Linked DNA regions of Neodiprion lecontei. The protein of the gene in region 3 binds, or shares a complex with, the protein of the main gene of each other region. Links are inferred from orthologs where the notes say so. Each region holds a gene or a part of one and is shown on either strand. Other genes may lie near its edges.

What was found.
Region 1: exosome component 10 (region 3) and exosome complex component CSL4 share a complex: the UniProt entries of both Caenorhabditis elegans proteins name them as parts of the RNA exosome complex. The link is inferred for Neodiprion lecontei from reciprocal best matches to the Caenorhabditis elegans genes crn-3 and exos-1.
Region 2: exosome component 10 (region 3) and exosome complex component RRP41 share a complex: the UniProt entries of both Caenorhabditis elegans proteins name them as parts of the RNA exosome complex. The link is inferred for Neodiprion lecontei from reciprocal best matches to the Caenorhabditis elegans genes crn-3 and exos-4.1.
Region 4: exosome component 10 (region 3) and exosome complex component RRP4 share a complex: the UniProt entries of both Caenorhabditis elegans proteins name them as parts of the RNA exosome complex. The link is inferred for Neodiprion lecontei from reciprocal best matches to the Caenorhabditis elegans genes crn-3 and exos-2.

What each region holds. Positions count from the first base shown.
Region 1 is NC_060263.1:20,668,650-20,674,139, forward strand, and holds exosome complex component CSL4, read right to left. Parts: upstream 3,132-5,490; 5' UTR 3,032-3,131; coding exon 2,995-3,031; exon of another isoform or gene 2,839-2,994; coding exon 2,723-2,838; exon of another isoform or gene 2,646-2,722; coding exon 2,397-2,645; exon of another isoform or gene 2,309-2,396; coding exon 2,227-2,308; exon of another isoform or gene 1,887-2,226; coding exon 1,774-1,886; 3' UTR 1,366-1,773; downstream 1-1,365. Other genes in the region: syntaxin-8, read left to right, coding at 1-193, 320-412, 577-737; ABC transporter G family member 20, read right to left, coding at 4,953-5,254, 5,335-5,490. UniProt on the Caenorhabditis elegans protein: Non-catalytic component of the RNA exosome complex which has 3'->5' exoribonuclease activity and participates in a multitude of cellular RNA processing and degradation events. Involved in regulation of antisense ribosomal siRNA production.
Region 2 is NC_060262.1:41,627,283-41,631,948, reverse strand, and holds exosome complex component RRP41, read right to left. Parts: upstream 2,444-4,666; 5' UTR 2,168-2,443; coding exon 1,997-2,167; intron 1,914-1,996; coding exon 1,614-1,913; intron 1,528-1,613; coding exon 1,171-1,527; 3' UTR 1,016-1,170; downstream 1-1,015. Other genes in the region: trifunctional enzyme subunit beta, mitochondrial, read left to right, coding at 1-168, 371-676, 788-832; protein cornichon homolog 4, read left to right, coding at 3,138-3,212. UniProt on the Caenorhabditis elegans protein: Non-catalytic component of the RNA exosome complex which has 3'->5' exoribonuclease activity and participates in a multitude of cellular RNA processing and degradation events.
Region 3 is NC_060263.1:36,947,156-36,954,636, reverse strand, and holds exosome component 10, read right to left. Parts: upstream 5,457-7,481; 5' UTR 5,277-5,456; coding exon 5,139-5,276; intron 5,018-5,138; coding exon 4,772-5,017; intron 4,699-4,771; coding exon 3,172-4,698; intron 2,951-3,171; coding exon 2,361-2,950; intron 2,036-2,360; coding exon 1,879-2,035; intron 1,734-1,878; coding exon 1,665-1,733; 3' UTR 1,286-1,664; downstream 1-1,285. Other genes in the region: pancreatic triacylglycerol lipase, read right to left, coding at 1-55, 145-248, 432-917; coiled-coil domain-containing protein 50, read left to right, coding at 5,869-5,926, 6,035-6,097, 6,220-6,337, 6,569-6,746, 6,927-7,481. UniProt on the Caenorhabditis elegans protein: Catalytic component of the RNA exosome complex which has 3'->5' exoribonuclease activity and participates in a multitude of cellular RNA processing and degradation events. Involved in apoptotic DNA degradation.
Region 4 is NC_060261.1:25,394,269-25,400,243, reverse strand, and holds the start of exosome complex component RRP4, read left to right. Parts: upstream 1-2,243; 5' UTR 2,244-2,369; exon of another isoform or gene 2,370-2,483; 5' UTR 2,484-2,514; coding exon 2,515-2,648; intron 2,649-2,691; exon of another isoform or gene 2,692-2,944; intron 2,945-3,670; coding exon 3,671-3,911; intron 3,912-5,283; coding exon 5,284-5,805; 3' UTR 5,806-5,975. Other genes in the region: T-complex protein 1 subunit zeta, read right to left, coding at 704-840. UniProt on the Caenorhabditis elegans protein: Non-catalytic component of the RNA exosome complex which has 3'->5' exoribonuclease activity and participates in a multitude of cellular RNA processing and degradation events. Involved in regulation of antisense ribosomal siRNA production.

The DNA.
Region 1 (5,490 bases), about 16 Mb from region 3:
CAGCTTCAGCAGCTCTACAATGCACGCAGCAGTAGCCTCGCCTCTGATCGAGCCAGACTCATGCAACCCAATTCTTCAGCTTTTGCCGATATGGGAACGACCAGCTGGGGACTAGAAGAAGATGACGATCAGCCTATTGACATTCAAGTATCTGTCGAAGATTTGAAAGTTCAAAAGTTACGACTTTTGCAAGGTATTATATCAAGCTCGGCGAAGATTTATTCTGTAGTTTTTACTGTCACAAATGTGACTGTCAACTATTATAAATGAAAAACAGAATTCTTAGATCGGAAGTTATTCATGTTTAAATCTTTATTAGAACAAGATGAAGGTCTGGAAGCATTGTCAAAAGTTATTTCTCGACAAAAGGATATCGCAAACACCATTAATAATGAAGTCGATCATCAGAATGGTGAGTATTTTGATTCACTATCTTTATGTTGCATATTCGCAATGAAAATTGTATACCATCACAATTTGTGGGTTTGAACAATCCAGTAATAGATATCGGAAAATTAATTATTCCTATGCGCGAATTTTTTCACACTAGTTTGTTCATTTCGCCGTTTGTTTTAGAAATAATCGATGATCTGGCCGATCACATGGAGAGGACCGATCAACGATTAATCAATGGAACTCGCCAAGTCGGTATAATTGATCGTAAAGATCGAACGTGCGGTTATTGGATTGTTATCATCTTGTTATTTATTAGCATAATTGCAGTTGCCGTAGTTTAAAATTAACATATAGAGGCTTATATTCACAATATATAATAATCAGCACGGTATATTCAACACACGTGATATCGAAAGTAAAATTACATTTCTTGTTCACCCCTTGCTTCAGATAATCGAAATGGCAACTTCACAAACAATATCGTATATACGATTTCACACTCTTTTCAATTAGCACACTCGCATTGGAAGTTTTCAAAAATTTGTGAAAACCATTGTACGCGGCTGTAAAGTAAATCAATTCGGTGCAGCCCAATTATTCCGTTTATAATTAGATTTTATGCTATTATTTGTAAATATATTATAGATATTTCTCTCGCCTGAAACTCTTTCCATCGCATTTCACTGGTCTTTTTCACCACATTCAAATAGTAGCCAGGTTTGATTTATCAGTGTATCCTTGTTGGGAAAAGAAATCGAACATGTTAGTATCGTTACAGAATGCTTGAGAGTATTTTGAGTTGACTGTCACTGAAAAGAATAAACGAAAATTAAACGTGTTGGGGATCTAACACAAAGAAACGAAGGTCATTCTTTGTGGATTTTGTAAATTGCAATACACAACAAGACTGAATTATGGGAGGAAAAAAATTGCAGCAAGTGAGTCTTCCAGGATATTTTTTCTGTGAACTCTGCATTTTATGTGCAATAACAAAAGAATTGAATTACTCAATGGATTGAGGAGTAAAGTTTGAGATTGACCTTGTGAATGACCTAGTGAAGTGTAATTTTTTTTCTCTAATGTACGATAAGTAATTTGTAGTATTATTGCAACTCGACAGGCAAAAGCTGTCTACAATGTATGTACATAAAAAATTACTCCAAATATATGAGTACGTATTTATATATGTATATATATAAATATAAAGTACTTGACATTCCAACAAAAATTAGTGTTCCTTATAAGCATTTCAATAGAAATTGAGACAATATTGATTCTATATGTTTAACCCAGTTTACACAATCATCCAACTATGCTATTCATTGTGGCACATTGGCAAAATGAATAGTCCGTTTATGAATGCAATTTACATTTATTTTATTTTTCATTAACGATATGCTCCGGTACAACTTTAGCTACTTTGCGCAATTCTTTGTTTAGGGTCTCTGGGCACTGCATTTCCGTCCAACTTACAGGCACCATAGATACACCTGTATAAAAAAAAAAACGAGGAATTTTCTACATTAACCCTTTACTCAACAAAATCCATAATTTCCAAATAGTGATATTTTGTTTTCACAGCAACTAATCTCAATTCACCCTAAAAAGTACAATAAAACTTCCATTTCGAGTCTAAGGCGGTAATTTTTCCAAACGATTTCATTTTGATAAATGAAGTGTAAATGGTTATGACACAAAGATGAAAACCTGTATTGTGCTGATTTTTTGTTTTACATATCTTCAAACTGAGAGCTGAGAGCTATTGAATATTTTATAGCGTATATATTCTTTGACATTTTTCTACCGCTATAAAAAAATAATTCTGCTTACCCTCTTCGCTGTGGGCGATAACGACTCCCAATTCATTCTCGGCAGTGGAAAGTTGATAAGTATGGACTTCGGTGAGAGGTAACTAAATTTTGCATGGGAAAAGTAGCCAACTATGAAACTGCGGTATTGATAACGAACGGTAGAAAAAAATTTTCAAAGAAAAAGGATACAACTCTAGCCAGAATAATATCTCCTGGTTTAAAAGATTTGTACATTTCAGTCTTATCTTTTTCCGTAGCCCTGACGTCTTCTTTTCTTAAAATGCCTCTGTAAGGTCTGGTCAAAACCACATCCCCAATGCATTTTATAACGCATTTGCAAAACCTTTGATTAACGACCATTACCTCGGCTGTTACAATGTCTCCGGGAGCTGGGACAATGCTTTGTTCTCTTATGCCGTGCACCTCAACTGTGCTCTTCTATTGATAATAGAAAGTGAGAAATGATGTTTAATCTGAAGGCAAGCGACCGTGAAATATCTTAAAACTTATCGTACGTGTTCATCTTTAACCAAGTTCACCACTCCTGCTAATTTTGAATAAATATATCCGTGCTGCTCGTAAGTTCCCGGTCCTGGAACATTTACTTTGTCCGACAAACAGAGCCTCTGACCTGGATTGCAATAAAAATTTATCATGAGTCTTAACCACCTTTAATTTGCATACAAACAAAACGTAATTGAGGATAGGACGGGCCAATTCATTTGGGACATTTCTGCGTAGAAAACTTGGGAAATGTTTATCGATTTCGTAATTCATTCATCCTTACCTGGAACACACACTATTGGCTCATTTCTTTCGTCCATTTCAGTTTTGAATCTATGTAAGTTTATTATTATTTTTCAAATTGCGACAACGGTGACAACATGTGGAGCACGTTTGAAATTAGGTTAGGTTGGGTTGTCATATTGTAGTTGGATTGGTTGGATTGGTTGGATTGTAAACAGAATTTTGTCAGCCTCGAAATCGCAAATGATCAATTGATCGATATGATTTAAATGTAAATCCATGTAAATCATCGTCGCACCAATCATTTGGAACGTTGACTGACTTCAGTCAAGTCTCGGAATACCGCGGAAAAGGGGTTAAGTAATTAGCTCTTAATACCTGGATGACAATGTTAAAATTGTAAAGGTTGAAAATAATGAACAATTCAAAAGTGCCGCCTCCTTCATTTCTACAAATTAATAAGTTTCCGTCATCAATGTTCGAAATTCTAACAATAGAAAATTATTCCAATTTATAAATCTCGCAAGATGTGAACCGATTCCAAGAAATCGTTGATCAAATTTGATCGAGTTTCGTTGCGATTGTTAAAAATAATTAGTGATTAAAATTTTTTAAATTGCTCTCCCGCCAGTTTGTATAACCGGAAGTCCGCGTTAATTTGAAAAGGTTTCGTACATTACTTCAGACCGCTCGATGTTCTTCTGTTGTTTAAAATTTATGGTGCTTGCACTGAAAGTTTTACTCCACCATACGCGGAAAACCTGTTGAATACTAACAGCAAGTCGCATAATTGACACATAACATTTATGACAGTTTATTCGCTGCAATGCTACAACATTACGTAATTATCAAATGTACATATTAATTAACATATTTCTACTTATAACTTAAAAGTCACAGACTACACAAACTATTGAATTGAACTAAAAGAAAGTCACCTGTATAAACAAGTAATGACATGATCATAGAAGTAATTGTTTGAAAAAATGTATACAGTGGGTTACATTAGTATCTCAGATACATATTTTCAAACGCATTATTATGATTATATAATTAATTACCTTCTTTATTACACATTGTTATATTATACAAAATATAAGCTCGATTCCAGGAGTCCACATAGCTCACAAGTACACATAATAGGTATAGTAATATCTATTCAATTGCGTTTCAATGTACAATTTTTTTTGTTGAATTACATACTATATTATTCACACACGTTGGAACAACATCGTCACTTTGAGATGCGTTGAATACTTTTTTTTATACGTATCAAACAAAAATGGATATGTGTATACATAAAACTTATTGAATCGACTGTAGATACGTGATACCCTATAAATAATCCGCTATATCAGTAAATCACATAATTTATACAATAATTGATCGGTCGAAAATATCTTTTAAATCGCATTATCGATGCTGTTGCGAAGAAAAATTAAATAATAGCAAATCGAAGTTGATGTGAAAAAAGAAGATAGAAATACAATAGAACCTGGTTTATCCGAGGTAATATGGGGAGAGCATAACTCGGATGCGTGAAATTTCTGATAATACGGAAAACATGTACAATCCATGCCATTACGATGTTTTACCCTAGCTTCCAGAATCGGAACTGCAGCGATTATTGCTCGCAATGTCACAAATCGCAAGAAACTTTTACAAGTTTATCCGTATTCAAATAAAGATGCGACACAAAACTATTTCATACACATAAGGCACAGTGGATTGTTCAGTTTCATCCAAGGTTCTCCGTATTATCCGAAGATATACACATTGGTGAATGCAGAGTGCTCGGATGAGATGGGCCTCTTGGATAATGCGGAACCTTGGATAATCGAATGTCGGATAAGCTAGGTTCTACCATAGAAATAACAATTTGCATGATTTAAATAAACGCCTTGATAGTTTCGTCGCTTGTAGATGAGCGCTAGTTAAACAAAGTACAATGAGGATGGGGTGCGATGAGGAGGATCGCCAATTGATTTACCTACATAATTAACCCTTCTTGAACTTAATCAGCAATATCGATAATGTGAGGAATATTATTATCCACAGGAACGTGGAGATGAAACCGTCGTAAACGGCTGGCTGAGATATGGGCCATCCTTTACCGAGCATTGCCCTGATCGACTCTGTGCTCTTCGTCAACGGCAAGATAAAGCTGATGTATCTGAGGACCGGATTCATCCCCTCGACTGGCCAAATGATCCCACAGAGCATGACGATTGGCAGAAAAGAACCCATCGCCATGTAAGTTGCGCTTCGTTCGTTGTCGCAGGCACAGGCAACCACGAAACCTGCGGATAGCAATTATGTTATGTAGCACTCAATCATATCTTTTCGAAAATTCAACCGGTAATACTGTGAGATTAATTACCGAAGCACATTCCACAGAGCCCCGTCAGCACCGTCAGAACCGTCACCAAAGCGATGCTGCCATGACATGTCAGCTTGAATACCGCGAACGAAAAGACTAGGACCATCAATGTTTGGCCGCACATAACAACGAACTGGGTCACCACCTGGCCGAACA
Region 2 (4,666 bases), on a different chromosome or scaffold from region 3:
GCTAACGCATCTTTCCTGACTGACGGAGCATCCGCTGCTCTCATCATGACTGAAGAAAGGGCTAAGCAGCTTGGACTGAAACCAAAAGCATATCTGAGGAACTTTACTTATGTATCGCAGGATCCGGTCGACCAATTGCTCCTGGGACCTGCCTATGCTATCCCAAAGGTAAAATTATCTTCCCTAGCTTTTATTTTGACCCTGTCATACGAATACAGATTTCGCAATTTGGCTGGTTTAAGTACTGGAACTGTAAAATTCGAACATATGGAACAAAATTTTTTGATCCCCCAATTAATGGAAATATCTAGTTACATTAAATACAGGTTGCACGAAATACAAAAATGTATATAAATTAAACGCCTCACAGGTGTTGGAAAAAGCCGGCCTGGGCTTGAATGACATAGGAGTCTGGGAAGTGCATGAGGCGTTTGCTGCACAAATTCTAGCAAACTTGAAAGCCATGGATTCTGATTGGTTTGCACAGAAATATATGGGTAGATCAGGTAAAATTGGTGTGCCAGATATCAACAAGTGGAATGCTTGGGGTGGTTCTCTGTCTATCGGACATCCCTTCGCCGCTACTGGAGTTAGATTAGCAACTCACACAGCAAACCGCATGATCAGAGAGGATCAACAATTCGGGCTAATTGCTGCCTGCGCTGCTGGTGGTCAGGTCAGCAATGATTTCTTATTTTATTATACACAAATTTTAATTCTTGGATCCTCAAGCCTGGCATGCGCTGCAGTAATCAATGACGGATGAACCATTTATCTTTATTTACAGGGAGTTGGAATGATACTGGAGAGACACCCAGATGCCAAACTTTAACGGAACTGCAGAATAAACTATTCTAATCTTCTATTCGTAAATACGATACACTGCATTAAACGTTTTATAAATGCAAAAGAGTACGAACCCTTTCAAAACTAGGCTGAAAGAACGAATTTATATTTTTACAGTCGGAGATATCTGTTATATAAATGTGTACATGTATATATTTTTTAAGATTTATTACACCTTGAAAAAAGGAAAAAAAAAGCGTAATGAAATAGTACAATAAATCATGATCCATTTCAAATTTTCATTAGTTCATTTCATATGCATAGCTGACGACACATACACACATATATAAGTAAAACAAATATGGGGATGAATTAAACATAGTACTAAATAAAATGAGGATCATGTGTCGTTAAATGGAATCTAACTGCTTGATCAAGAATCACCCTTGTATCCCGACAGCCCTGCAACGCCCGTTGCCTGAGCCCTTCGAGCCTGGAGAGATGGAGTCGTGCACCAGTTCCTTGCGCCACGACTACTAAACCGGAATTGTCGGTATCTGACTCATAATTAGAGCCAGGGGCTCCTGGTAAAGCAACGACAGTTAATGTCGTCGCTCCTGTACATTCCTCCATATGATTTGCATCAACTATTCCTGTTCCAGATCCTGTTTCATCCTTACTGTCAACTTCTTCCGAAGCTCCCATGCTGGCTATCGTTGCTGTGCATCCTACAGAGTAATCCTGTAAGTAAAGCATATCAAATTTCATTATTTTTATAGTAGAAATCAGTAAAAGCACAGTGCGTAAGAAGTTATTATTAGAAGTACCTTAATGGGAATACCAGCGTCGATTAGAGCGAGAGTCGCTGCGTTTACTGCTGCGCAATAATCACTGCCGTCGGACTGAAGGACTTCGACAAACACGTCGATTTGAGAGCGAGGGTACAGTTCTACTTGTACAATAGCTTCGATAGCCCTGCGTAGCTGCAGAGACGTTTCTTGGGTCTTGCGATCACCGCGTGGTCGTTTCTTGCGCTCACCGGCACTAAAACTGAACACAGCCATACTGTACTGGCAATTTATAATTCCCGTGCCACTTCTGTTCCCACCACGCCCCCCTCCTCTTGGCTGTAGCAAACAATTGTTATTGTCAATGAGCAAGTTAAGAGAATTATGGATGTGAACAACTGAAATACGTTATAGGAAATAACCTGATGGGGCCCGTACACTGCAGCCAAAACTTTTGTGTTGCCCTGTTCTAGGTAAGCACTCCCATCCGACTGCCCGAAGACACCCATTCGAACTCGAATCTGTCTCAACTCATTTGCTCGTCGTCCATCGACTCTTAGTCCTTGGTCCGACACTAAGTCTTGGCCAGACATTGCGAAATTTACTTTGTATACTTTCAGTATCACTTTCCTTTTACAATTAGTCGATTGTAGAATCGCGTGGTGTACCCGTTTGTTGTCGATCTTGCCCAACCTAATTTGTCTCGGCCTTTCAACCACGCTTTCGTGAGGCTTTGACGGCTTTGACCATAATCTTTCCTGCTATACCATGGCTACACTAATAACTAAAGTGAGCTAGGTGTTCGACGGTAAGTAAAGATATGTTTTGTTGGTAACATGAATCATCGGAATAAACGAAGATGGAAAGCCCAACGACACCCACGAAACACTTACCAAACGCGTTCGTGTACCGGCAGCACTGTCAAATTACTAAGATATAAGATTATCGACTAGCGTTCGCCCACTTCGCCCTCCGAACGCGCACGGAAAGTTAATCAGGTTCATGTAAATAATATTATTCAGTGTTCAAATTAAGCGCACAAATTTGTGCTTAGGCATGATCAGCATGTTTAAATTCGCTAGTAATTAGTTTGAAGCGCTAGAAATCCCTTGAACAGACGCAGATTTACCCACGAACTCGGCAGCGCAAAAGAGATAAGAGATGATTGACAGCACTGGGAGCTAACTTCGAAACACACCCTTTAGAGCCAAAGTGGATGTGAGGTGTTGTGCCCTTTATAAGTCTATGGTTGTGCCTTGAAAAATGTACGCAATCCACTGACAGTACGGTAGTCGCTTTCCAATGCGGCCTCGAAGGTTTTCTGCGATTCTAGGGCATTTTCTTCTCGGCCAAGTGGTATGCTTGGTGGCAAGAGGCGTGAAGTGTGCTTGACGAGGCTTTGACAGTCCCACGACAGTCGGTAGTTTATAGATTTACCCACACCTTTTCTGTAAAAACAAAGATTTAATTCTTTGGTGTTACGCTTACCGAATCAAACTTGTTCCCGATATAATTTAGTTCTAATCTGAGAACTTATTGACAGCTGAATTACGTGTAGAAATCATGGTTTCCGAGCCGCTGTTGTTCGCGTTTGCTCTATTCGACACCGGCGCTGTGCTTTTTCTGCTTGTGTATTTTGTATCCTTTTTTAATTGTAATGCTTTTTGATTAGCGTTATATTACGCTGTACGTTATCGATGAATTTACGTTGCATAAACATCTCGGTGTATGTTGTTTGATGTTTACTCGGTTGCTTTGACGTAGTCCAAGATTTCTAGGGAATTTCACGTTGTCATGTTTCGCCCATGGTGCCTTAGAATACCCTAAATAAACGTCAGGGAGTAGTAGGGTGCAATAACCGCCAATTCAAAGTCTGCAACGAAACCCACGGCGATGACTGAAGACTGTCAAAGACGGTTGCCCTAACTGGGTTTTGTGTATCTAACGAGATTGAGTGTTAAACAGCTCCCGCAGGTAAAAAAGGATCGCTAACACGGATTCTTATGGCTCTAGGCCCACTTACCCGCTGAGTAATGGTCTGGAAATGTTTTTTTTTCAGCGGTAACCGTCTGCATACTTCCGTCAACACTCGCGTCAAATATGTCGTTGAAATAGTTCCATTGTTCTGTGTTGGGCAGCAAAAATGTTAATAGGCTTATAGAAGACACCAATATCGTGGCTTCGTTTTGGTTAACAATCAGTCCTGCAATATGCATGTACAACGTATATGACGTACAAGTATATCTTGTCTATGATTTATAATAGAAACCTACAGATAAAAGAAGATGAAAACTCGAAATATATTTATAGATGTGAAAACGTCTTGAATAAATAGTCTTACAAAACGCACCTGTTTAATTGACATTGACGACTTTCCGTTTATATCTCTGTTTAAATAGATTCTGCATAGTTTCAGGGGAGTTTATATCGTTTATTTGTCTTTCACGACCCGCACGGTTTTTGAGAATTGGTAGCAGCCACGAGTTTGTCGCAGTACATAAATTAAAAATAGCCCTATATTAAATAATCGCTCAATTCAACGTCTATCTCACCGTCGTTTGCAGTTATTAATGCAAGCAGATATTACGCAAGCTCTAAAGCGGCGCCTCTCGTGTCGAGATTGCTCTGCGAAAACTATACGTTGCATCTTTTAAAGTTTAAATTACCTAGTTAACCTGACCCCGGTGTCGAACTTTTTCTTCTTTGGCAATCAGAGTATCACGTGTCCATATAGATATACGCATAAAATTTGCAATTTCGTGCACAGGTAGTTTAGAAAACTTATTCGTTTGCTTGTTTTCTCGCGGGTAACGATGATATGATGTCGGTATGAATTTCCTCCCAGGATTAACATATCATACATCATTATTCGTGCCTCGAACCTACGCTCGATGCCGTGCCGAAATGTTTCCAAATGTCCGATTTACACGAGTCCCAGACGCCTTAACAACACATCATCTAGTTTACAACAAAGCTCTCGGTGCTCGTCAGAGAATGGATTATACATTATACCTGTGTAGGTGCTCCCAGTGGCTATTTTCTCTCACATGCTTTGTTCAAACCGTTCGTAGGCGCTTCTCTGATTTTCACTA
Region 3 (7,481 bases):
ACTTGGGTGTATATTTCCACTAGCCAGTGTAGTGTTAACTATCTGTCCTAAAAATCTAAACAAATTAAGAACATCAGTTGCACTGCGTACCTATTTATTTTATAATCTTAACTCAAATGACATGGTAAGTACTCAGTGACAAACCTGGTGATTATGTCTCCAACAATCCTGGTATTTACAACAGCCTTGTAGTAATTCCAGGAGTTTCCTCCAGCACTCCAGTCAACAACAATTACATTAACGTCACCCTAAAAGCAATTGGATTTGGAAAGTGAAGTTTAATCGATAAACCATGTGGTAGTAGAATATAACACGGTTTGATTTACAATTAGATGGTTTGTGGAAAGGTGCTGTGGTTTACATTGAACATAATAAAATTGCGCGTGCAGTTAACAAGGGAAGTCTCATACATTTGAATGATCATTACTCACCCACAAAAGGAATGCATCTTCCATAGTTTTAATCCACATTTCATTGCCATGAGACAAAAACCCATGAACAATGAGAACAGTTCTTCGGTTTATTTGAAAGTCTGTCCATTCCAAGCCAAATTGCCTTCCAACTAAAACCTCGACTCGATGGCGTTGCCTTCTCGATGACAAGTAAAACTTTACATTCAAATTGTCACAATCCTTGCAACTACCAACAAAAAACCAATGCAGAGTGCTTGCAATTGCACTACCCAAACCTAGACAATCTACTTTGCTCAACCGAAGAAAATTTGTTTCACTCTCTGACGAAATAATACCAGAAATATTGAATCGTTCACGAGTAAGACTACTAATTCCATGCCAATGAGATCTTACTAAGCTACCGTTTTTAATTTGTACTGAACTGATAATTGTAGCACTGCAATTGTTGTTAATAAACAGCATATATGACACAATACCGAAGATAATTATGCTAAACGCACTCATGTTAAGGTCAGTGTTGCTCTTGACGCACTGACCACGATTGATATTTTGTTTATCTAGAAGGAAATATGCAGATAAGACGGAAAGCTATGATGTGATACACTATCCACGTGAATGTTGTCATAATACCACTGGAAATGACTCAACTTTTAGTTTGTCTAGTTTCCAGGCTAATACCATGCACAAATTGACATTTCATCAAAAGAGTAGACCTAATTTAGGGAAAAACAAGCAAATACCTTAATTACTATTCACGACTGATGAAATGAATCATAATGAAAGAATGTTTTGTATCCAAACCCACCATCTAGTTTATTAGTTTATAATGTGGGACATTAATACACAGTTTTCACTGTAAGAAATGTAAACGATTGATGTTCATATTTGAAACGTTTTATTGTTTTAAAACCATTCTGAACAGTTTGAAAGTTAGACAATCTTACCAATAATATCAATAATTGGTACATGGATACTTGTATTTAAGAATGAAACGTAAAAGAAAAAGAAATTCAAATAAGATGAATGGTTCTATATGCTGTGGTATGCGACGTCTAATTCACGGAATATTTTATGAAAGTAATCACTCGCGCTAATCACGATTATTCCGTATCCCGTCCCATCACAGTAGGATTGAATTCTCACGTAGTGTAAGCTTTCAATTTCATCCAATATTCCCGATATATCATTTACTTCAGTTTACAGAAGTGACCCTTTTTCGGACCATATTTTAATTTTTACCAACCCACGGGGTTAGCAGTTCCATTTTTGCTTCTTATTACCTCTATTTCCTTTCCCTCGATTTCCTCGTGCATTCTTTTTCTGAAATTCAAGTGGAATTCGTTGAGTAAACATAAATTCGTGCTGTGGGCTTCTACCTTTTCCACTCGCAATTAAAAGAATTCGATCAATTGTACAACAATAGATAGTAATTTAGTGCTGTACCCATACGAATTTGCCAACTCACCTTGTTCTGAGCTTGGAAAGGAATCTGATTGTGCGCGCGGCTGCCTCCTTGAAAACTACTGAAATCGACATTTTTGTAATCAAATGATTCTCTAGGTAGAATACCTTTCTCTTTCATATTTCTCTTATTTTCCTGTTTACTCTTCTTCTTATTGTTTCTGAAAAATACACGAAATTATATTATTCTTACAAACCATCTTTCTAATTGATCATTACAATGCTTGGTGGATTATTTACTTATTTTACAAGGTTACTTAAAAAATTCTCTGTTATTTGTTCAAAAAGTACGATATTATCTATAGATGATAGCATGAAAAAATTGTAGCACCAGGAAAAACTTTCTGGGTCTAATAAATAAGAATCGGTTTTACAGTTTTCCAAGTCTGAAGTAAGCTGGAATCGTAAAGCGTGTATATAATGGCACAATACAAAATGAATGAAGAAATTCACTAAATAGTTTTTTCGCAATTGTAGAAGTATTACCTGAGTGATTTGACAGACAATTCATTATTTGCAGAAAGTTCCGTATCTTCAGTGAAAGAACTGTGCCCTGTATCGTGGTATGATTTCTTTTGTTTCTTTACACCCTGTGTGGGTGAATTCAACTCTCGTTTATCTCGTCTATAATTTTGAGTGAATTTTTTATGCAGGAAAGGTAGCGGTGTCGATAAATCATCTTGCGACTCTGTCAGTTTAGTATCATCATGATAATTAGATTGTCGTTTACGTTTTCTTCCCTGCATCTGGCTCAAAGTTTTGTGGTCAGGCCCGAACTGTTTAGAATCAATAGACTGATTCGAACTGCTACCAGCGGATTGCTGTACGCTGATTGGATTAGTAACTGCTCCAACCACATCTTTGAAGTGTTTATAAACTCTGTTTTTACTCTCTGCTATTTCGTTTTCACTATTTTCTACCAATTTTATTCTTTCAGCTTCTTCTTTTTCTTGTCTCTCTCTTTCTTTTGCCTCTTCTGCAGCTACCATGGGTAATACACGCTTATACCGTTCAAAAGGACTGATGAATGGCGTTCGTCTTTTTTTTCTCGTAATGTGCCCCGCAGTGTTTTCATCCTAATAAAAAAACAAGCAAAAAAATGTCCTCAAAGACGTACTTGAGAAAATTAAGTGATGAAAATGAATTGATCAAATTAATTAATAGGAGAATCCTAATCTGAGTCAATTGAATTCTAGAGCTGAATTAATTAGATTTTTGCAATTATTGTGAAATCATTTGCTATTTCAAGTTTCGCAGGGTAAGATTCTCCCTTAAAGTACACTTTTTGTTATCAAACCTCCGATTGTGGGGGGCTGTCAAATACAGTGACAGTATGAGGAATCGTGTGTTCGGTAACATTAATTTCTGAAGAGCTGTTTAGGTCCAACAAACAAGGTAAATCGGCTCTGATCTCCATATCATGTGGCATATCATGAGGTGAATATAGAAGTGTAGTTTCTAAATCTGTAACTTGATTTCGCTGCGTCATACGTTGTCGGATATCATCTTCTAGGATAGGTTTGATCATTGGTTGTTCCTTTGCTTTCAAGATTATTTTATGAAGCGATAATGCGTTTTGTCTGACCAGAGGGGGTATGGGGTTACAACATGCCAGAATTCCCTGCATTTCACGGGGTAAACTCTCAGCGATATTCAACAGCATGTGATTTGGTAGAACGTAACCAGTACTGTCGTCCTCTGCCCTGCCAGTAGCATCTCGCCACTTATGCAGTTCTCTAAGAGCGTACAATTGCCTATTGTTGAACATTTTCTTGCTCTTTCGATACAGATTCATACACTTTTCCTCCGACCAGACTGGTTTTCTGTATATCTTTTTGCATACGTCTGTACTTCGATCATACACTGCCTTCAAGATATTGCTTTGGCCATTGGCCTGTTCCAGCAATGCATTCATAAGATTATCTTTAATATACAACAAGTAGTGAGTATCTTCCCTTGCATATTTCATCAGCTCCTCAGGTAGAGGCCTGACTCGCCAATCGGCCAGTTGGAAATGTTTGTTCGGATCAATATCACAGTACCGCTTCATAAGATGTGCCAAACTTAGGTATGGCAAATTAAGCTGTTTGGCCGCAATATGAGTATCAAACATATTTACAATGTACAAAGACAAATCTCTTTGCAGCCACTCGATGTCACTGCCAGCGCCGTGAAATACCTTAAGAATGGACGGTTTCGTAAATATCTCATTAAGCTGGTGCAGCTCAGATCTAAGTGATAATGTGTCGACAAGATAGTCCGTATCTTTGGTTGATATTTGCATTAGACATGTTATGCCTTGGAATGATCTATAAGAATGATGCTCCAAGTCAACTGCAATCTCAGTGTATTTACTCAAATCATCCAATAGTATTTTTATATCTTCAGGTTTTTCAATCACGATTAAAGAAGTGTCGTCTATATGTTTATATTCAACAGGAACACGAGACTCCAGTTGATGCTCAGGTGCTTCAAACCTATCAAGTTCAAATTCGTATGGATGGCTGAAAAATTCTCCATCTTCATCTTCTTCGACATACAGAGCGAGTGGCTTCAATGAGTTTGGTTTATCCTTTATTCTAGGTTGCCAAGGTTTAATGCTGTTATCAATTTTATCTTCAAACTTCAACTGCGGTCGCTGGATATTCTTTGCCGTCAGTAAACAAATCGCTTGAGCCTTATTTGCCGGTTGAGTTTGCTGAGTTTTTGAATGGAAGGACAGATTGTTCCAGCTGCCGCTTACAGCTGTCGAGTTACTTTGCGATACAACAAATTCGACATCTGGGTTTCGCAGAATTCCTGAGGCCTCATCCATACATATTCCCTAAAAATAAATTAAATTCTGTTACTTTCCTTAACCAAAGGTAAATGGTTTTCTTCTGATGTTGCCAACTTACTGCTCGCTCTAATAAAATATCATTAGCTTCAATCAAAAGCTCAAACTTCTCTTCTATGTCACGCCGTCTGATATTGCCTCTCACTCCCACACCTTCTGTAATGTTTTGCATACAGACCAAAACGTTGTTGATCTCCTCATTAATGATATTACGAAAGGTTGGAAAACATTTGTAGTAGTCATATTTTTCACCACTGGGTAAGCCGTTGGCGGCCTTTATGCCGGTTTTTAGTGCTTCAAATCCAACCTGGAAAAATAATTTGATTACGATCAGCATAGACGATTAAATGAGAAAATTGACCAACATAAATCATTATGTTTTAGTTGTTTTAAATACGTATAGTGAGATTAGAAGCTGTGACACTCACATTAACGAAATCATCAAAATTTGTGAACCCTGGTAGGATTTCGATGACCTCCACACCCTGAGCATTTGCGGATTCATCCTGTGGTTCGGAATCATTACGAGATTTGTGACCAGGCTCAATACTCGTGTCGGTGCTCATTTTTTCCACGAATGTCGTCAATAAAAACGTGACGAAACTTTCTATGCACTTTTGAGGTTAAGGGTACCTAGTTTTAGGGTTATATCTTACACACGCCACCAGTGTCTCGAAAGTGAGGAAAGTGAGCTTGAAGTCTGACTACTTGATACATAAATGTTGAGTGTAAGGGCCTTGCGACCAACTTCATTTGTAAAAATTGCAAAGTGTCATACTTCGATTTGCATTAAAACCACAGCTATGTAATTGGCTAATCTGACGTTTTATTTTTTCCATGAGTCTGCCAGCCAATCGGTGTGTCTGACTTGTCGCTGTCGCTGTATTAAACATTTTCAATAGCTTCTTCACGCACTATACCATACTATACCTAACCTTCCGTAAACACTACTATCCATTCTCGAATGTGAAATGACGCTTGTAGTTGTATCTACAAACGTGTGAACAGTGATTACAGACTGTAGTATACAATGCATATTCAAGATGGTGCGAACAACAAAGCGATCCCATAAGGTGATGTAAATAAGAAAAGTTGTCTACGAAAATTGTTTGTGAGCAGAGTTAAGAAAACGCGCAAGGAATAATCAAAACCAAAAATATGGCCAAGTCTGTATTGAGTTCAGATACCCTTCCTAAGGCAGGAAGAGTAAACGAAGGTTAGTTGAATATATCCAGAGTCTTCAAGCTTTCTCTTGTCACTTTTCAAGACGCGCCGTAATTGCGGCTAATTCCTCTCGAGTTAATGTTAATTCCGACGGTTACAGTTTGTCGGGAGTGGCTGGTACACGAAGATGGAGCATTGGCATACAGACTACAGGACGAGGAGAGTAAGTTTTTTTCGTCATGACCAATATTATTACAGTCTCAACCACGGTAATAATTGCGTGAAATTTACTGTGATACGTAAACGATAACCAACAATGGCTCTCATCTCCTTTGTTGTTTACAGTTAAAGAACACTACACAGGAAACAAGGTTCGCAATGCACAAGTACGCGAGGATTTACCTAAGGCCAAAGTTGAACAAGAACTTGAAGCCCTTAGATATCAATGCATTATCCAACAACAGTTAGTGAAACTATTTTTAAATTGAAAACATATGGATTCATGATCGACTTTCAAATAGTTCTATACTTATATTATTGATGTGCAAAAATGTGTTGTGCAAACAAAACTTTAAACTTAATTGCACATAAAATTGATTTACTGTTTTTCAAGTTTATTTTTTCATAAACATGGTATTTTTTTTGTCAAAATGAAACATTGTAACCGAAGAATTGATGAAGAATTATCCAACAGGGAAGAGAAAGATGCACTTGTTGCAAAGCAAATTGCTTTAAATTTAGAACGTGAGGAACGGAAGAAAGAAAGAATGTTGCAAGAGCAAATGAGACGGCAGCTCAGACTCGACGATGAAACTGCGCAGCTAGAAGCTGAATTGGAGATGCAAAAGCGGATTCAAGAAGAAAAAGATCAGGTAATATAAAGAAACAAGAATTTCACGTACATATTTGTTCAATACTAATTGATGTAGAGGTAGTTTCCCACATGTGCTGTATGATACTGGAATAATATAAAAATCACATAAAACTGAGTTATTCAAAGATGTCTATGGTAATTTTACTTATCTACGTTATCATTATGCTATGCTGAATAGGAATTAGCAAGAAAGTTACAACTGGAAGAAGAAGAAGCTACGGCAGAGGGTGAAGGTTCTATGATAGATGAACAGCTGCTAATTGACCAGAAGATAGCGATGGAAGCTCAGGATGCAGAATTAGCACGAATGCTACAGGATAAAGAACGTGCAAAAGCACGAAGAGCAAGAGAACGTGCGAAGCAAAAAAAACTGGAAAAACAGCAGCTTCAACTACTCGAGGGGCAGAATGCTATTGAAAAGCCACAAAGGCCTGACAAATTGGATCTGAAAATACAACACCAGGTTAAACAAAAAGCTGGTGCTAATTATTCGCAGTATCCTGATCCAGAAGAAATTCAGGTACTGGAGAGTCCGTTGAATGAAATAAGGGAAATGCCCAATGTTGCTGCCATGATTGATCCAACATACAACGGTAATACACACAGAAGCTCTTCAAGCAGTTCAAGCAACACCACAAGCCCTGCTTATGTTTTACCCACACCACCTCTCGAACTGATGGACGAGGATGCACCTTGTTATATGCCGATTCAAGGGCAAAGGCGTAACCAGATT
Region 4 (5,975 bases), on a different chromosome or scaffold from region 3:
TATGCCATTTAAACAGAAATTGTCTAGCTAAGGGAATGTCAGACGTCCATCAAATATGATAAATCGTGTCTTACAATTCTTTCTGATCTTACGTAAAAAAGTTTATTTGAATTTCAGGTAGTGATAGGGCTTATAATAGATCTTGTGAATGGAGTAAGAAAAGTTCGGAAAATTAATGGAAACACTAAAATATTTGCAGCTAGTCTACATTTGATTTCAGGTTATTGGATTTAAAGTGCACGCTGCTGCAGCTGAATCAGATATTTTTTTCATTTTATCATAGATTTTCTGAACTTTTCTCACTCGATCCACAAGTCTATTTCTATTATCATAAGTTTGAAGACATTTCAGCACTCGGATAAAGTAATAATTATAAAATACAATTTGCCTTTACAACTACTCAATAATAGGTCTGAACAACATTTATCACTATTTTCGGCGTTTAAAACCAAAATCAGTATAAGGCCTCTATGGGTGTACGTGTATATAAGTGGATGTAATCATTGTGGATGACCTTATATGGACATAAATTTTGATACGTTAATTGGCTACAATACATGAGCTTGGATTTTATGATTGAGAACGGAATGAAGGCTCATTGTAACAGATAGAGCAAATTATTATTTTGGCGATTGAGACAGCGCCGACGAATTGACATAGGTTGGTGGTTTGTGTGATCACATGTGCGGCGAAATCGACTTACATCTTCATAGTCCCTTTCGGTCCCAGGTTTGTTCTCATCACATCTTGGATGCCTTTTGCTGCCGATATATTAACAGCCAGAGCTTGAGCCGCTCGTGCAAACTCAGCTTTCGGGTTTAGGAGACTAATCGCTGCCATTTCTTTATTATTCTTATAATAAATAACGTAAGATAATCGTAACGCCGCGAATACACCCGCTTCGAGAAACAACTGCAGTGCCTTTTAGATCAGAAAACTTTCAATTAATGAATGTGAGTAATCCACGGTATAAGAATAAGAGGTGGTCCGACTGCCTCATACTCCCTGTGTTGAGCTCTGTGATTATTATGTCTTAGTACGACGGAAATCCGCCAGGGACCTCATGCGTCGGTAAGGATGAGCAAGGTCCCTAGATTAGGAAGGTCAAGACACGTTTGTTCCAGTTTTTCTCACTATAACGTGGGAAAAAATGTTCTATGCACGTTCGCCCAAAAAACATCAAACTTACATTACCGCATTAACCAGTTTTGACCAATCTTGTTCAATGTTTTGAGGTTAAGCATTAACGAGTTGCGCCCCTAGTGTCCTGACGTTCACGAAATAAATAGAAGCACGTATATATTTTGAGGTTAATCATTGTGACAGGTCAGAAATCAGAACCACACCAAGTGCTTTCAATTTAGAGCACAGTGTGACACAGCGTACAAATTTCTATTGTAAGCGGCCAATCCGGGCAAAGGAATAGACCAGAAATGTTTACACCGTGTCATATTGTGCTCAAACTGGAAAGCATCCATTGTCATACGAAACTTTTGGCGCATTCTCACTAATTTTTTTTTTTGCCCACACTTGTCTTGACCTGTCTAATCTAGGGACCTTGGCAACACCATAGACTTATAAAAATAGACTGAGCGCTCCTATAAAAGGCACTGACAATTACATATAAAGGACAAAGATATACCAGGAGTACTGCTCTCTCTTTTCAATCGGCCTCATGGTGGGAGACAACGGGGCAGTGGAACAGCTACAGATATAGGCGCATAATTTCGCCTCATTCTCCTCTACCGCCTCTATCCCCGCCAGAAATATCGTCAGAGAGAGAAAGGAGTACTCCCGGCATATTTCTGTCCTTCAAATGTTTGATTCAAGCGGCTCACAAGAGCGCTCGCTCTATCTTTATAAATCTATGGGCAACACAGAGAAACCTACAGCGCCACAGTCGGTCGAATGCGAAAGTGTACCTACCTATGAATATAATGGTTGCTTTCCATTTACTGACTCAAATCGACTCGTGTCGCTATTTCTGGTGTAACCGGCCAATCTGGGCAAAGGAATACACCAGAAATAGCGACACAAGTCGACTTGAGTTAGTAAATGGAAAGCACCCAATGGATCCAGCTCCCATTTTAAAGTGTACTTTTGTAGAGTTAGGCCCGGTCCACAACCTCCACACCTTGACATTAAAACCGAGTTTACCGCTTTAACCTGGTTGAACCGAAGGTTATAAACCAACAACCTATCGCAGCGCCGGCATTGCTTGTTACGCTGCCCCTGATGGCTGGCAACATAAATAAGCATATATACTTGTTATATACCTCTATGAATTTGGCAACAACAGCTTATTTTGTTTTGCAATTCAGCGCGTATCTCCAGCCTATCCTGCAGTACCAATAGTGAGCTAGTACAAAGTATGAAAGTATTACAATCAGTTGTTTTAATTTTAAATTGTCCATACGATTTGAAAAACTTTATTAACCGTCATAAGAATCCGCAATAATTAAACAGTGTGTTTCTTCTACAAGAATACTTGAGGATACAGTACATAACCTGAAAATGAATGATGAAGACATGATCCGCGTGCGGCTGGCAGTTCATCGCACAAATACGAATTTATCTAACGGTGACCATGGGATGCCCAGATATTATACACCCGGTGAAGAGGTGTGTAGTCAGCCTGACTTCATGAGGTACATCATAATCCATCTTATCCAATGAGCTCTTCTATCTCCCTAGTGGCTATTACCTATTGAGGAATGTGCTAAATCCGCTTATACCTATTTTCCCGCTTTTTCCAATAATACTCCTTACACAGTCCAACCAGATCCCGTGTGACGCATCACCCAATAAACGAGTGAAGATTAAATCCATTTTAATTGATCAATAGAAAATCCAAAAAATAAAATTGCAATTGTTATAAAAGCTTGGATTACTAGTTGAATCCGTTCCAACCGTAGTTTCTGTACCAATAAAGGCTGGTTATCAGGTATCAGGTATCATTACAGTTATAGTCATTGGAATCTATTAAATACAAGTAGAGTGTAGGTCAAAATATATGAGCAATTATATTTCAGAATTCGGAATCTTGTCATAGATTGAATTGGAGTTATAGCAATTTGAATTTCCACAATAAAGATCGATACGAAAACCATCAACGCACTAATGCTATTCACTGATTAACATGGATTTAACCTGTTGCAGTAATTAAACAGAAATAAATGGATTGAACTTGATTTGACAATGACGTATCAAACTGCATTTCAAGTGAATTTAAAAGTGTACAAAACAATCAAATGAAAATGGATAGAGATGTGATTATACAGTATAAATTGAATTGAGTCTTAATGATATTATGATCGTAATAAAAAAGAAATTAAATCAAAACCGTAGGCAATTATTCAAAACTATAAAATGATTGATTTAGTTTAACCTTTGTATCATGCCATCAGTTTTCTTCTGAAAATCGGGGTTTACAGCCATCAAAACAAATCTGTTTCAAAACGGTCTAATATACCTTTTATTTTTTTTTATTTTCTGGGTAAAGCAAAATCACTGAGCTTGATTGGATGAATGAATGTCTGCAGAGTGTTATGCATGAAAGTTCTTAATCCTATTTAAATTCAAGCTATATCACCAATTATGTACAAAGAGGACTCATGATTTGAAATTCATTAACTTTGAATTCAATTCTGTGTATTGTAATGTTATAAAGAGGTCATGGGACATACATGGATGACAATGACACGCTGCGCGCATCCGTCGCTGGTGTGCTAGAAAAAGTGAATAAACTGATATCTGTGAAACCTTTGAAGGCACGATACCAAGGTGAAATTGGAGATGTAATTGTCGGCCGAATTACAGAGCTTCAGCAAAAACGCTGGAAGGTTGATACTAACTCAAAATTGGATTCGGCCCTACTTTTATCCAGTGTCAATCTTCCTGGTGGAGAATTGGTAGGTTTGATTACCCCATCAATTTTCTCTACAATCTCCATGCAAAACAAGATTAGTGTTTTTTTTACAACGAAGTTCAATTTAGTAACAATGTTATTACAATACTGAAAAGTAATCACTGTTGTGCAGCACTAGGTTGCCTTACTGCCTTATTAAAATTTTTTGTTTTCCGAACAATCCCAATTTTGTGAAATAACGTGATTTCTCAGACATATGTTGTTACATCAACGTTACAAACCATATTTCGAATATTACTCTGAACTTGAGATGTTTCTAAGAACGAGTGTTTACCTATATGTGATTTACTGCACTTAAGGTCATGTAGTACTTCTATCTTTACTGACCGAGCAAACTCACCCTTTTTATCCCTATATTAAATACACAGACGAACGAAAAGGGTTTAAATTTTGACGGTGCATCTTTTCTTATGTATATCCCGAAAATCATGAAAAAAAAGTATGGTTTCTTGACATGTGTAACTATTGACATTGACGATTTTCGCGATATGAGTAATTTTCCTGAATGCCGCTACAAAAGAGCGATACATCATCGAAATTTGAACCCTTTCCGTTTTTTTGTTTTTTTAATATAGAAAAAAAAAGGGTGAATTTGTTCCGTCGGTAAAGGTAGTATTACAAGACCTTAAGGTTAAATGGGCCTTACTGTCTCAATGATAATTGGAAAAGCGAAAATTCCGTTCGAAAAATCACCTACTATGTTATATGCACCAATGATGGTGAACACGGATGAAGCAACATCCTAACTGAGTAATAGTAATAAGGATGAAGTTGGTAAAGTTATTGCAACGATGCGTGGTCGGGAAAAATCGTTACTTCGCATCTTCAGGATTGTTTAAAATTTAGTAAACCATAATAAACAAAACCTATTCATATCTTGAAAAGCCAACTCGTTGAAAATCATTCTTAAATTGAACAATATAATTATTTTTTCCCTGCTTTTTGATTACGGTAACGTTACTAACTTCAGCTTCGTTAATAGTAATAGTTGGAAGTAAATTTGATTAACACAAGCTGAAATATCAATAATATGAGAAAAAGTTTAATATTTAAAACATTCAGAATGATTGAACTCTGGTGCTTGGTGATTCTAATTTAATGTTCTGACCTTATTTTGTTGATTTTGAAGATTTCTGGAATGTTTACCAGACAATTTGCAAGGGTGGTCTAGTCAGTGAACAAAATGAATCCAAAATCTTTAGATTCGGACATTTGTGTTCACTATCATTGACGCAAACAACACTGCTGGAAATTTTTTTAACGGTTCTTTTCTCTATTTCCAACTTCTCACTTAAGGAGTACGGCACATTCATTCCTATGTAGAATGTCTGTCATTATTCAAAAATACCTTTCAGAGGCGGAGATCAGCAGAGGATGAACAAACGATGCGACGTTACTTGCAGGAGGGTGATTTGATATGTGCAGAGGTGCAAAATGTCTTCGCTGATGGTTCGCTGTCATTGCACACAAGGGTTTTGAAGTATGGAAAACTTTCGCAGGGGATTTTGTTGAAAGTGCCACCTTCGCTGATTAAACGAAAGAAGGTTCATTTCCACAATTTGTTAATTGGCGCGAATTTGATACTGGGGAATAATGGTTATGTGTGGATAGGTGCTAGCATTCACAACACCGATCGGACAGAAGGTGGATTTGCTCAAGATTTGTCCCGTATACCGCAGCAGGATCGAGAAATGTGCGCGCGATTGCGAAATTGCATTTTGGCTTTGGCTCGATCCAACATTTTACTCACTGATACATCAGTAATTTACGCTTATGATGAATCTACCAAATACTCTGCGAATGAGTTGCTACAACCTGAAGCTGCACTCGACGTTGCACTTCTCACACAGCAGAGGCTTGGTGAGAGAATTGATTGAGACGAAGTTAGCAACACAGAATCACCAAGCTATGTACTCGTTTAAAATACATGCGAGTTTACAAAACATTGCAGTATGACAGTCGTGAAAAATGTACGTTTTTAATATTTGTGAAACTGTGAAGTTGAGGATAACATTTTGCTTGACCCAAGCAGCAAAATAAGCTAACA